Linked DNA regions of Stegostoma tigrinum. The protein of the gene in region 2 interacts with the protein of the main gene of each other region in a pairwise test. Links are inferred from orthologs where the notes say so. Each region holds a gene or a part of one and is shown on either strand. Other genes may lie near its edges.

Evidence for each region. The genes of interacting proteins can lie anywhere in the genome.
Region 1: the proteins of sncaip (region 2) and NEDD8 ultimate buster 1 interact in a two-hybrid assay, tested with the Homo sapiens proteins (2 studies listed by BioGRID). The link is inferred for Stegostoma tigrinum from reciprocal best matches to the Homo sapiens genes SNCAIP and NUB1.

What each region holds. Positions count from the first base shown.
Region 1 is NC_081355.1:147,142,045-147,149,774, forward strand, and holds the start of NEDD8 ultimate buster 1, read right to left. Parts: upstream 3,004-7,730; 5' UTR 2,659-3,003; coding exon 2,642-2,658; intron 1-2,641. UniProt on the Homo sapiens protein: Specific down-regulator of the NEDD8 conjugation system. Recruits NEDD8, UBD, and their conjugates to the proteasome for degradation. Isoform 1 promotes the degradation of NEDD8 more efficiently than isoform 2.
Region 2 is NC_081356.1:72,577,363-72,584,909, reverse strand, and holds the start of sncaip (synphilin-1), read left to right. Parts: upstream 1-4,544; 5' UTR 4,545-4,911; exon of another isoform or gene 4,912-5,057; intron 5,058-5,181; exon of another isoform or gene 5,182-5,417; intron 5,418-7,547. UniProt on the Homo sapiens protein: Isoform 2 inhibits the ubiquitin ligase activity of SIAH1 and inhibits proteasomal degradation of target proteins. Isoform 2 inhibits autoubiquitination and proteasomal degradation of SIAH1, and thereby increases cellular levels of SIAH.

The DNA of each region.
Region 1 (7,730 bases), on a different chromosome or scaffold from region 2:
CTGCTCTCATCCTCAAAAGCACCAACATGTTTTTGTCCAGTCCAATCAGACCAATTCCTTTCATAGGCCTGTATAAATTATCTTTGCCCAATACTAAAACTCTTGTATGTGACTCTATCTTCACACTTTGAATTAGAATTTGAAACTCCAGCATGTTGTAGTCACTCTTTCCAAGAGGATCCTTAACTACAAGTCCATTTAACAATCCTTCCTCGTAACATAACACCAAATCTAAAGTCAACACAACGTGGAGCTGGAGGAACAGAGCAGGCCAGGCAGCAGAGGAGCTGAAAAGTTGATGTTTCGGGTCAGGATCCTTCTTCAGAAATGGCCTGCTGTGTGCTTCCAGCTCCACACTGTGTTGTCTCTGACTCCAGCATCTGCAGTTCTTGCTATCACCAAATCTAAAGTAGCCAGTTCTCTGGTTGGCTCCATGACATGTTGCTCTAAGAAACAATTCCTCAGAGTGTATGTTTCTTCAAGGCTACTCTTGCTAAGTTGATTGGATTAATCCAGTCAGTATGCATGCTCAAATTACTCAATTATAGTTTATAACATTCTCACATGCCCTCATTATTTCCTGGTTTGTACTTTGCACTACTTCAGAAGAAAAGTTCACAGACTTGTAAAGTACTCCTACCAAGGGATTTCCTTCCCTTGCTTTTATTTCCACGTAGACTGATTCAACATTTTAGTCCCTGGTTCTGATATCATTTCTTAATACACCGTTGACGTCATCCTTAACCAAAACAACTCCACCTCCTGCTCCTTCTTGCCTATCCTTTAGGAATACTGTGTGCCCTTGGACATTTAACTCCCAGTTCTGAACTTCTTGTAATGACGTTTCAGTATCCCCACTAGTTCGTATCTATTTGTCACTATTTGTGCCATCAGTTCATTGACTTTCTTCCGAAGGTCCAACATTTTTAAGTTCTATGAATCTGTCTTTCTCTTAATATTTTCACATGCACTACACTTTCTACACTCCCCATCCTTATTTCTAAGTCTATGACAACACTAAGCCTCATCTCTATCATTTAGAGTTCTGGCTTTTATTTTCCAAAGTTTTCGAAGAAGTATTTAGATTTGAGTAGTGCTAAAATTTTAAACAGGTTTTTCACTTGAATTTGTATTCTTGAAATGTCTTAAAAATTTCAAGACAAAAAGCTTAAACAGGATGTGACTTTTTAAAGCAATACTCAACTTTCTACTATGAAACAACTATCTTTTGTACTTTAGATCAATTTTTATTTTCAAAACTATAATTTGTGTACTAGACACAGAAATAAATATTACATCATAAAATAACATTCAAAACCAGTCCTTTGTGCTGTACTTTCACTATTAAAACCTGGGGATTTCCAACTGCTAAAGGTCTGTACTATGATCTCATGCTTATGTTAAACAAAGTGCATTCAACAAAGTAATTCACCTAATCCAGCATTCCAGAATACACTCAAAGCTGTTCCAATCTGACATTAATTCACGATATTTATTGGATCAGAAACAAGAAGAAGCTGTTCCAATTGTTAACTAGGCAGAATACAAAACAGGAAATCTATAAAAAGAAAGCCCTTGATGCAATTTGTTTGGCGACTGTCACAGTGCTGTGGTTGATAATATTTTTATTTTAGTTTTATAGGAAAAAGAAGTAAACTTCAGGAAATCAGGGCGTATTCTCACTGTTGGGTATTTAAGATTTGTTGGCCTTGCTTTTAGATTCACTTAACTGCTCAAAGGCTGGAGTTTGCGTATTTTGAAACAATCTCTTGGCAGTGGTATCATAAGGGAACTATTCCCATCCATACCAGGACTTACCCTTTTCAGTGAGGATGACTAGGTCAGTAAGGAAATTTCTACTGCCCTCAGTCCCAAGAGAAGGAGTCATGTAGAGATTGACCAAGAGATTTCAAACTTTTCTTACTGTCTGCTGAAATGATCTCCTTAAAATAAACATCGGTAACAAAACTGGCATGGTCAGTTTGGAAGAATGCCAGACAAATCCTTAGCTTTCTACTTAAAGCCTCCAAATGTAATGTTCAATGTGTTACATCAGTAATAATGGATAATTTATTCAAATTAGAGCTTAAGCACATTAAATGATATGCTCTAGCAGACCTAAAATTACATTACTTGCTATCAAGCCAATGACTCTGGAGGTCAAGTGGTAAAAGATTGATGGCAGAAGATTCTTGATTTACAAAATATTATTTCAATTTTCTAGAATGGAAACATTTGGTTAGCTAATATGTTTCAGCAGCCTATAACTTTCTTCTCTATTAAATCAATCCCACGATCAACTCACATTTCATTTCCAAAAAGTTATTTCACATGCCCCCTACCTTAAAGTCACAACTCCAGCAGAACTAATCCCTATTGATGCTCAGGTGTCAGCGACTATCAAATTAAAGCCGGAAGCGTTGGAGAAACTCAGCAGACCTACCAGCATCTGGGGAATAGGAAAACAGTTACCGTTTCGAGTCCAAAGACTCTCAGAGAGTCTATCAATTTATATCAACAGCGTAACTTTCGAGTGATGTTGGGCATAGACAATTCACCATGGCCAAAAACTGAGGTATTAAATATTGAGCTAAAATATATTGAAATATTAAACCAAGTTTATATGCAGTACTGATCAGACCTCGGAAAACTCATCATTCAGTGCAATCGCCTCCCACAGCCAACAGACTGAAGAATTGGATGCCGTGAAAAGACAGGTGAGATTAAGGACACTTGCAGTGCAGCAGGTAGTGGGTTTCGGTTTGTTTGACCGGTCCTCCAGAGCACTTTGAGGAAGAAAGGCTTCAAGATGAAACTCGGCACCGTGCAGTCCGGAACGGATGTCGGAGCTTGAGGCGACAGGGAAGGAGAAGAGATGATTTGATGACAAAGATTAAAGATGGTAAGTCGGATAACTTGTCGCCCGACAAGAGCAAATGAGACCGGGTTAGTCAGCACTCCGCTGGCCACCAAACCAGGCCAGAGGGTGAAGCCGTTGCCAAGAATTCAAAGCTTCAGTCGGTGCGGATACACATTACCTGCTACCACTGTTGATATAAGCCGTTACAGGGGCGCTGGGCTTGAGTTATCCCACCGTTAGACCCGATTGAGTAGGCCTAAACTGCCAGCTGGACTGGGAAGGGGCTGTGGGAGATGATGCACCGACCTTTCCTTAACTTCCTCTCCCTCCTTTCTCTGTACTGGTTCCCTCAACAATTCACCTCACGGTTTTTGTTGTTATATTAATCACGTGATAGAGGTACGGGAGACGACTGGCGATTTCTTTTCATCGACCGGCATCGGGCATGACCTGACGTCACTACAAGAGGCGGAACATCTTTGATCCTTCCTCCGGCCCCGCCTCCTCAACCGGCCTCATTCCATCGTGAGATCCCACCCCGTCCCTTCCACTGACCCTACCCCGTTATGACATTTAGCTCCGCCCATTTCCCGGCTCCGCCCCTTACACTGGCCCCGCCCCATTCCGCTCCGCCCCCAAACCATCTCTTACGGCACCTCCCATTTAGATTAGATTCCCTACAGTGCGGAAACAGGCCCTTTGGCCCAACAAGTCCACACCACCCCTTGAAGCATCCCACCCAGCCCCATCCCCCTATAACCCACACACCCTTGAACACTACGGGCAATTTAGCATGGCTGATCCACCTAATCTGCACATCTTTGGACTGTGGGAGGAAACCCACGCAGACACGGGGAGAATGTGCAAACTCCACACAGACAGTCGCCCGAGGCAGGAATCGAACCCGGGTCCCTGGCGCTGTGAGGCTGCAGTGCTAACCACTGTGCCAGCGTGCTGCCACTGAAGCATTTAAACAGGGTTTAGGGTGGGCAATGTCGTTGTTAGTTTTTTTTCAGGTCTCTGTGAGATGTTAATGAGTTAACATCCCATGAACTTTTATGCTCCTTATCTCGTCATATAGGGGTATACACCCAAATAGGATTGGGTGTGAAACATCTGTAAACACAAAAAACATTAAGCTCTGTAATCTTTATGGCTCTGCCCATGCTGCCGCCTACCCCTGTTTCTGCTGAATTGGCCAGGTCAGTGACCTTTGATCAAGCCAGGCAGTTGTCACCACTTGAAATCACATCCTGCCGCTATCATACACTTGGTGCCGATCAAAGCTGTATCCTCTTCTCGTTATAGCAGCATGACCACATACTCGTGATGTTTCAGACGTACTAATTGTTTTATGTGTCTGCCAATTCCAAGGGTATAAAAGTGGGGACTGTCCCCTGTTTGGGGAGAATCGCTCATGATACTCAGCACTCTGTGCTGGGCTGTGTACAGCAATCCTCCGCAGCTTGTAATTACTTAATAATAAAAAACTAATAATAAAGAGATTTTGTAACCAGGTCAGTGTCTTGCTCTTGCATCAAGTCTGTGAGGGTCTCTGAAAAACAAAGCTAACATTTGGCCCAGCGAGTAGGTTTCCAACATGTACAGAGGTCTAACATGGAGGACTGAACAAGTGATCGTTTGAGTGTCAGTGGCATGAGCCAGGCCCACAAGGTATGATTCACCTTGGTCTCTCTCACTAACCTACCACTTCTGTGGCCCCTTTGTGGCTCTGTACTGACGGAACCCTGAGATGACTCATGGTCTTGTACACTGATTGAACCTATGCCTGGAGGTTAGAGTCACCAAGGCTATGATGAACTAATTCTGCGAGGTTAGAGTCCCCCGGTGACTGGGTTTCAAGTCCCCAGGTCAGTACAGATTGACAAACTAATTCTGGGAGGTTAGAGTTCCTCGGTGTCCAGGGGTGGGTCCCTAGGTCGGTATAGATTGCAGTTCGAGTCCTCCAGATTTTAGATGAGTTCTAAATATGTGAAGGTTATTTAACAATGGGTCAAACTTTGAATAGGTCAGGGGATAGAATCCATTATATAAAATGCATTGCGAAAACCCAAAGGACGAGGAGCGACTCAAGATGTTCATCAGGGAGCCTGAACAAAAAATTGGGAAAAAAGAATTGGCCATTAAAGGGAACGTGGGACGTTGATCAATATATTAAAGCCGGACAGGCCATTTGGAAATGTAATGCGGGAAGCAAATGGAAAGGTTTAATGTCATCCTGGAGAAAAAGAGCTGAGGAGCCGACTGAGAAAGCAAAACTGACCAGTTGGGTGGATAACATGTAGAAGAGGGATTAGCGCCTGTGATAATGAATGGAAACCAAAAACCTTTGAGGTTTTAAAGCTGCAGTTTCAGTGAGGATCATGAAATGAATGAAAGGGAAAGGGTTAAACAAGAAAAGCTGGAACGGGAAAGACGAAACAGAGAACAGGGATTAGAGTGACAGGCTGAATTGATGAAAAAGAGGAAATCGGAGATACTTCCTGACATATCTGACTTGCCGATGTTGTTCCAAACAACACAGACGAGCAAGAGGAGGAGTACTGGAGAAGGCACTCCTCTGCCCCACAGTGACCACTACCCCCTCCTCAACTCTACCTGTTTGGACTTTGTAGCTCTGGGATTAACTCCTTGTTCTTCAATTTCTGTTTTTGTATCTGAAACCACATGTACCCTATTAATAATGCAGTGTTAAGAAAAATAAAAGTTTGTTTCTAGAAAGAACGAAAATGAAGGCGAAGGTGAGCAGTCATCCCATGTCCACTGGCTAGAAGGATTCAGATGTGTCACTGACATGGCAAAACCTGCATCGAGTAAACCAACAAGGGCTCAAAGTCAGAGTGCAGTCTTCAGAAAACCAAAAAGGAGAAACAGGAAGACCTTGGGGAGTTCCCTAACATGTTAGCTGGATAACAGACGACTGCCTTTACAAACAAAACCCGCAAGAACTGCAGATGCTGTAAATCAAGAGCAAAACAGAAGTTCTTCGAACTTCTGGCTGGTTTCGATCAAGAATTATACACAAACACTTATATTCGATATAAAATCAAAACTTGCTGGCAAGAATCAGCAAGCCTGGCAGCATCTGTTGGGAGAAAGCTGAGTTAGTTTTGAGTCCAGTTTCATTTCATCAGAACTAAATGACATTCGATGTAACCGTCGTCAGGCAAGTTCAATATTTCGTTTTAATTTCACCGGAGTTTATTGTATTCGTACATTACCAGCATGTGCTCCTTCCTTTCTCATATTTACCAAATCCCCATCGTTCTACAGCGGCCCACCCCCTCACACTGATCATGCCCACTTAAGCATGACCACACCCACTTGACCAAGCCCACCTCCTCACACTGACCACACCTACTTCACCAATCTGGTCTGTCACAGTTCACCAGGTCCACTTAACCACGATGATGTGGAGATGCTGGTGTTGGATTGGGGCGTGCAAAGCCAGAACTCACATGACACCACATTATTGTCCAACAGTATTAAGTGTCAGTACTCAATGCCAACATCTGCCAATTTCCATACACCGTCCTACAACTCATCAGCTTTATTCTCGACCACAAAGCCTTCACATTCAACAACCAGTTCTTCATCCAGACACATGGAATACACGGGGACCAAATTTGCAATATGACAAAATTTTCATGCACAAGTTCGAGCAAGACTTGCTTGCCGTGCAGGACCTCCGATCAATGTTATACACCTGATACATCAATGACATTTTCTTCCTTCTTTTCTTCACTATAACAATTACATAGCAATATCAACAAGTTTCATCCCACAATCAGACTTACCATGGACTATTCAGAATCCATCTTATTCTTGGACACAAGCATCTCCATCAAGGTCAGACACCTCAGTACTTTAGTCTGCCACAAGCTTGTGGATAACCTCACAATGCTACACTTCTCTAGCTCAACCCTAAACGTAATACAGAAGCCATCACCTAAGGACAAGCAATATGTGGGAATATGTGCAAATATGTGGGAGATGTTCAGATGAGAAGGAAAGTTTTTGGTCTTAAAGATTCTCATAAGAAGGGGATACAATGCTTAACTCATCGATTGTCAGTTCCAAGGTGTGACAGCTAGAATCCACAACAACCTCATTGGACACAGGATATGACCAATAGAGCTTCGTCATCCAGTACAACCCCAGAGCGAAGAAACTGCGCCATGTTAGTTAACTTTCTGGCCAACAACCCCGGCCTGAGGGTGAAGCCATTGCTGAGAAGCTTCAGTTGATGCAGATCACCATTACTCTGGGCCACTGTCTTGTTGTCACATGTGACAGATGGAGTTTAATTTACATAAATGCGAGGTGTTGCAAACCAGCGCAGGACTTGCATAGTTAATAGTAGGGCCCTGGGGAGTACTGTTGAACAAAGACCCCTAGGAGGGCAGGTACATAACTCCTTGGAAGTGGCATCCTGGGTAGACAGGCCCATGAAGAAGACATTGTCACATTTGCCTTCATCAGTCAGAACTCTGAGTACAGGAATTGGAATATCATGTAACAATTGTACCAGACATTGGTAAGGCCTCATTTGCATTACCAGGTATAATTCTGATTTGGAAAGGGTAAAAAACATTTACAAGAATGTTACCAAGTCTGCAAGCATTCAAATTTAAGGAGAGGCTGCACAGGCTGAGACTGTTTTCCTTGGCGTATATGAGACTCAGGAGTGACCATGTAGTGATTTATAAAATCATTATGTGCACAGATAAGGTGAATAGCCAAGATCTTTTTCCCCAGGGTAAGGGAGTTCAAACTAGAGGACATAGTTTTGAGGTAAGAGGGGGAAGATTTAAAACAGACCCATGGGGCAATGTTTTCACACACTGGG
Region 2 (7,547 bases):
GCGGGCAGAATGAATTAATTAGGTAGGAGGTGAAATGTCATTTTCCTGACAGCAGGTTCAAATTTAGAGATTAACTCAACAGGATGTTTGTGGTGGATTGGGCCTCACACCATCCTGTGGCAGGTTCCTATTTGTGAGACTTTTGCACGCTAGGAATATTCATCGTCATTAAATCTTTTTAAAAATCATACCCCATTTTCATGTCAGCAATGTGCAAAATCATGTGGCAACAAATTTCCTTTGATATAACATGTCATGCAACTATCACCTTTGCGGAGTTGCCGGTTTCTTTGTTGATCTCTGTATCACATGGTGAGGAGTAAGCAAACAGCAGTTTGCACCTAATCTCAGGAACTGGAAGAGTGAGTCAATAGTGAAAGAGAGGCACATAGTAAAATTGAGGACAGGGAACAAAGAATCCAAGGACGATCAAACAGCAGAGTCGGAGGCTTGCAAGAATGAAGAAAATCCAGCATTTTGGTGTGGTGGAAAGTCAACCAATGTAAGAAAACGAGCTGCCTTGAGGGCAGTGTCAGAGTAAGTCCATCTCAGGGCACAAAGACAGTGCAAAGACAGGAGAATGATAAACAGTCTCATGTTTTGTACAAGATAATAAAATGTGGGGCTGGATGAACACAGCAGGCCAAGCAGCATCTCAGGAGCACAAAAGCTGACGTTTCGGGCCTAGACCCTTCATCACTGCTGTGTTCATCCAGCCCCACATTTTATTATCTTGGAATCTCCAGCATCTGCAGTTCCCATTATCTCATGTTTTGTACAGGTTCTTTTACAGTTTCACCAATACCTGCTACATTGCCAGCTGATCACATGCTCACCACTGAAATCCTTTCCCTATCTTAGGACTGCATGTGCCTCCCCATACATGTCTGTGGCATTTTAAATGATTCAGCATAAAATTCCAATGGCAGAATGGAAACAGAAAGCTGATGAGACCCTGGAGAAAATGGCAAGTTAAGTGATGGTGCACATTGAAGCTATTTTCAGTGGGGTTCTGCAGGACTCAGTTCAGCTTAAAGGTAGGGGCATGATCTAAAAGGTTTCAAGTGAAATGAAAATTGATTCTGTGGTTGATAGTGAGAAAGGAAACTGGAAGTAAAATATCAATGGACAGTATAAATGTGCAGTAAAATGGCAAAGAAATTCAATACAGAAAATTGTGAAGTAATGTATTTGGAAAGGACAAACACAGCAAAGTAATTAATAAATGGTAGGATTCTTGGAGGTACAGAGGATCTTCGGAGTCTATATCTATAGATCCCTGGAGGAAGCAGGGCAGACAAGCAAGGCAGTTAAGAAGGCATGGAAGAAACTTTCTTTTACTGGTTGAGGCCTAGATCAGGGATCTGAATCCTATAGTTCTGGAAACCTGGCAGCTCTTTAGCATCTTATTTACATCTCCCAATCTTTTCAATCTGGATTGTATTAACATGAAGAGCCCAAAAAACATTCAGTCAAAAAGAGTAGAGCTGTGTTTTATTGTGGGGTGAAAAAACTAATCATTATACTGCACGTCTCCATTTAAATGATCATTTTAACGAGAAAACATCATTATGCTTAAATAAGCCTGTCTGAGTGGTATAGCTATACCATGGTTATAAATTATGCCTTTGGTTTGGAGAAGAGGTTTTCAGTTTGTAATTTCTTTTTAAATAGCTTGAATGATAAATTATAACGAATATGCTATTAGAGGCTTTTCTTAACCATGTGACTCAGCTGAAAACACTGTTAATTTTATGTAGTTCAAGTTAATGCTCTTCTAAAGTTGACTCTACTGGTAAAACAGTAAAATAAAAACATAATTCAGAGTGAGGTCAATATTTATTTGATGTTTTTATATTGATACATAAACTCAACCCATGTATTTTATCATCGTAAGCATTTTACCAGAAATACTTGGCAAAATGTTAAGCATTTAGTTTAGAAATAATGATTTTTTCATTTTGCAACTCACAATAACTTTTATTTAGAATTTTGTTTTGAAGAAGGATCTTCCAGTAAAAACAGTTGCCAACCCAATAAGCAGGATGTTTAGGTTAGAGCCGTATAAAACACCAATCAGACCACAGTTAAAGTACTATGGATGGTTCTGGTAATTGCACTATAGGAAGGGTATGATACCATCCTACTGTATGCAGAAGACAATGAGTTTGAGCAGTAAGGAGATTGAATAGGCTATAGTTGTTTGATTTGGAAGGAGCTTGAAGGACAAGTTAATTTACATGTTGGAAGTTATGAGGGGAGTCTAGACAACCTGCATAAAATTAACATATTTCCCATTCAAAGCTCCATAGTGAGAGCACATGGATTTAAAACTATTTGATTCAAAGGTTCCAGGTGAGTTTATGTGTAATCTTTTTCACTGAGGTGGTAGTGTGGACTTGCAAATCTCTGCAAAACCCTAACGCTGCATTTTAAAAATATTTGGCAATGCATTTGAGGTGTTATAACCTACTGGGGCTGCAGCCCAAGAAATGGAAGATGGGATTATATTTGATAACATTTTCCTGCCAGCATGGAGCCAGTGGGTTGAATCACATATTTTGTCATTTTACTTGCAAATTCTTTGTTTTGAATTCCCTCCATCTAGAAAATAAGCTAGAGCATTGTTAGTTTTTTATGGTCTTGTTAACTGGTGTAGCTACTTTCTACATCTGTAAACCTTAGATCTCTTTGGTCTTCTACTCGAGTTGGATACTTATTTTCGAAAATGTATGTGCTCTTATTCCAATTATCAAAGTATACATCTCATAATCATCTATATTGAAGTTGATGTACCAACATTTTTCTTCAAATACACATTAAGTTGACTAAGCTCTTCAAACTGGTGTTGCATTCTTTAGGTTTGCATGCATGTTCTAGTTCTGTCAAGCGTTTTGAGAAATGTTCAGTATTAAAGGTAATATAAATGGATATTGTTATCACATTTATTATTAGATTTTAAGCCATACACTTTTGATTTTATTAATATTAAGTAAATAAACTCCATCCAGTTCAATAGCATGACCAAGATCACTGATGTTTTAAAATAGAAAAACTGATGGAAATTTTTAACTTTAATGAGAAAACATTAAAGAAAGCTTCCAAAACCCTTAAATATAAACAAAATTTGACTTATTTAGTCAACATAAACCAATGTCTCTAATTGCAAACAGAATGCAGTCTCCCTAGCTTAACTAAAAATCCTAGAAGTACGTGCAATAAAAATAAAATTTGAACTATTCAGTTAATCATAAATCAGCACTCCTGGTCAGGATTTACAGTTCCAGAGAGAAAACACAGACATGCAAACACAGCTGAATAGAAGAAAATGAATTTTTTTTTATTATTAGTCTAGTATTCATAACCTAACCATAATTCCAGCATTCATCATATTAACATCATTTAGGCGCTCATTTTAATATACACCTGAAAGCAAATATTTTTATTAAACCAAATAAAACTTTAAAATCAAATTCCCAAAAGTAATTGTGTTGCACTTGATTATTCTTTATTGTGATAAACAAATTTCAAAACATTGTACAAAGTTGTTTCTGAAAAATACACTCCATCAAACAATACATACACAGATTTGATAAAGGTGAGCAAACTCATTAAAGGTTATAATTGAATGAAAAGAAGCTGGTTCCAGCGCCAAAACAATCAGTTGCTGGAGGGAACAGATTTAAACGTGACTGACACAAGAACACAAAGTAAGGCGATACAACATTGTTTTTACGCAGCAAGTTTCTATCTAGTATGAACTACCTGAAAAGGTGTTGCAAATTGTTTCAATAAGGACATTCATAAATAATTGACAAAAAATGGAAAGAAAACATGTTCATAAGATAGAGCGAGGGGGGATGTTGTGGGAGATTAACGTAGTTGATGAATTTCTCAATTAAAGAGCTGCAACTGGCATTATGGGCCGAATGGCTACGCACAACGAAACTACAAATCTCAATGATCAGCTTCCTGGAGCACTGGTTCTCCAGATTAGTCAGTTAATGCCATTTTCAGTGATACACCCTAAACGAAGCACACGGGACTTCAGAGATAACGGGAACTGCAGATGCTGGAGAATTCCAAGACAATAAAATGTGAGGCTGGATGAACACAGCAGGCCAAGCAGCATCTCAGGAGCATTCCTGAGATGCTGCTTGGCCTGCTGTGTTCACACGGTTTTTTGGATGTTGATCCTCATTAGAAGGGGAGTACAGGGTGAAAATAATCATCCATTTACCGGGTCCTTGACTACTGTGGGTTCAGCTGCCCTTAGAACAAAAATCTAGAAGTCTTAACACCGTCTCCTCTTGTGCCCCATGCGCTGCCCAAGAGAGTGAAGAGCCAGTATTGCTCCCTGTCATGGCCGTGGCCAGCTCCCCCCACCCTGCTGTGTTACTGCCTCCAATGCAGCCAGCCCAGCGGTCTTCCCAAATCAAAATTCCGAGCTCAACGAGGCCGCCAGTAGGGCCCCATGTACAAAATCGGGCAAGTTTCCAGAGGTGGGAGGGGAGGGAGGGAATGGCTTACCCACATCTCCAGGAACAGTCACGAACGATCCGCTACACCGCTCCTGCCTCTATCCGGGCCTGTGCATCCTGCTCATGTGTATCGGAGCTCTTTGGAAAAAAAACACAACCGAAAAGACAGGCAAGAAACAATGATTTCTCAGAACCTGCCTGCTGCTGGGCATGAAATCACCCGCCTCTGCAAAGAAGTTTTGCCGATCGAGAAGCGGCATAGCTGCAAACTCTCCGCTTGACTGGAGGAAATCTTGGTTGGGCTGGCACGAGAGGTTGGGGCGGGGCTCGACTCTGGGAGGGGGCCGGTGGAATCGCGAGCGCAGCGCGCGGTGGGAAACAGAAATCTCCAGGACGAACGATAACGGCTAACAGCTCACCTGCGGTGGCGGTAAGGATTCAACCTCATTCCGTTGGCGAGATGACAGAAAGAACCCGTTTGAAGTTCGAACACGGGTTCGGATTCTCTCCTTTCCATGATTGGAACTGTTTACCGTTAGGAACGACGGAGATAATCGATTCCGAACTTCAAACAAAGGAGCGGGGGCGGGATCTGTCACGCTGCCCTGGTCGCTTTTTGTGTGGCCATTGGCTAGCAGCCGGCGGTCTCGGTCACTGATTGGCTGATTGGCCTGTCAATCGACCGGAGGTCGGTGTTGAGGTGGTTGAGCGTGAAGAGTACGCGGCTGTACATGGACTGGTCAATACTTATGAATAAGCTCCATGATAGAAGCAGTGGGCGAATGCGGAACGGGAGGCTCTAGTTGGCGGCAGGTTTGGGTGTACGCTCGGGGTTGGGGAACAGGGCCGGTTTGCTCAATAACCTGTCACCACCTCGCTCCCGGGGCGCTGGCACTGTGCTGGGAGGGCAACACTCGATCCTGGGGGTCCGTGGAGGTGAGTGGCTGCTGTTCTTTCATAATGTAGCCAGGTCCTGCCCAGATGGGAAACAGGCGCGGGTGGGCGAAGCAGGATTGATCGGAATTCGTGAACTGCAGGCTGGATCGACTGTGAAGAGGATTGGAAAAGACCCTTCGCAGTTCTGTTTCACCTGGTGTCTGAGATTCTCTCTCTGCGGAAAGCAAATGTACATTGAGACACTGGTCACTTATGTTGATTGCCCTGTGCAAAATCTGCTGGACTCAAGTGAGGAAGAGTGCACGAAACATATGCACTTCTATATTTACATACTGTGTGTTAGTATCCTCAGTATACAACCAACTGTTTAGATAAGGGGACCAGATAATACAAGTAGGATTTGTAATCCTGTGATTGAGAGTATCAGAGGCTATTATTGCAGCGTTAACATTGGGCGAAAGAAGTGAAGCAATATCAGTAAACTTGGGTAGGCAGGACAATTATAGTTTGAGTAAATCTAAGAGATACAGAAAAGAAAATGGTTTTCATTTGCACGCGAGTAAGGCCGTAAACATGCGATTATACTGGGTTCCCAGGCAAGATGTGCTAAATATAAAAATCAAAATGTAGTTTGAACGTATATAAAACTTCAGCAAGATTACATTTGGACTATGTGTACTATTTCGAGTTCTATAGATAGTAAAATGATATGGTGATAATGATTGTGTGGCACAGATTCACTAAGATTCTGCCTGGTATCAGCATGTACAAATTCAAAAGAAAAGTAAAGCAAAATACTGTGCAGGCTAGAGAAAGGGGAGCTGTATTAACATTTGGATTGATGGCTGTTCTGAAAGGTCACTGGCCTGAAATATTAGCTCTTTCTTCCTTACACATCTATTATTTGACCCTATGTTTGTGTTCTGTTTAAGAGTTGGAACCGTTTTCATTAGAAAGGAACATTAAAGGGTATTTAGAGCAGTGTTTAAAATTATGAATGAATCTGACAGGGTAGATTTGTTTTTATGTTTTGACAGGTGTAGAGTTACAGGAAATAGACTAAATGCACAGAATTATTTTGGACATGGTTGTGAAGTTTTGAAACATGTTTAACAATTGAACCAATAAAAATGAAAGCTAAAAGCCGGTTAAGTATATGAACAAAACTAAGTGATATGGGAAATGGGTGGACTACGATTTATACAGAGAGTGAATGTCAACATAGATGGGCTAAATGGTTCTATTTTTGTTACAAATTCTACGTGACTTCATACAAAGCAAATGCAAATTAATTTCACACATGGTAATATTCTACAAACAGCAGAGATAAAATACTAGTTAATTGATTTTGGTGGATGGGCAAATTGCTGAATGAATTACTTTTAACAAGCACCTTTTGCAAGTATAAGATGTTCCAGCATATTTCAGAGTCAACAAAGTAGTTTTTAAGGTGCAATGGAGTATTTTACTTTCAATCAGATTAATTCTAATGTGTAATTCAAAAGGTGGCATTTCTCTTGATATACTACACCTTCAATATTACCCTAAACTATAACATAAGTTATTTGAAAATCATATTGTGGCAGTATATTATTTCACAAGGTGTGCTTCTGCAATATTGTGAGAAAAGAGACACTATCAGTTTGTCATTCACCAGCATTACAACCTTATTTTTGTTCAATTAATGCACCCAGACTAAAAATGTGGAGTTTGATTAACAATAAAAGAACATAGCATAGTTACGTTAGTAATTAGGGCATGTAGATATTGGGTGAAATGTATAATAGATGATAATAAGAACAAAGATAACAAAGTGTGAAGCTGGATGAACACAGCAGGCCAAGCAGCATCTTAGGAGCACAAAAGCTGACGTTTCAGGCTCTGAAGGGTCTAGGCCCGAAACATCAGCTTTTGTGCTCCTGAGATGCTGCTTGGCTTGCTGTGTTCATCCAGCTTCACATTTTGTTATCTTGGATTCTCCAGCATCTGCAATTCCCATCATCTCTGATCACAATAATAAGAGCAGAGTAAGTTATGGATTAAGTTGTTTGGATTTCCCGTAAGGTAGAAATAATCATACTTTAGACTTAAAGTAATGAAACTTCATCAAGTGTATACCTTGCATCTATTTCCATGTGACTGGTAAATAAGTATTGTTAATTGGCACAT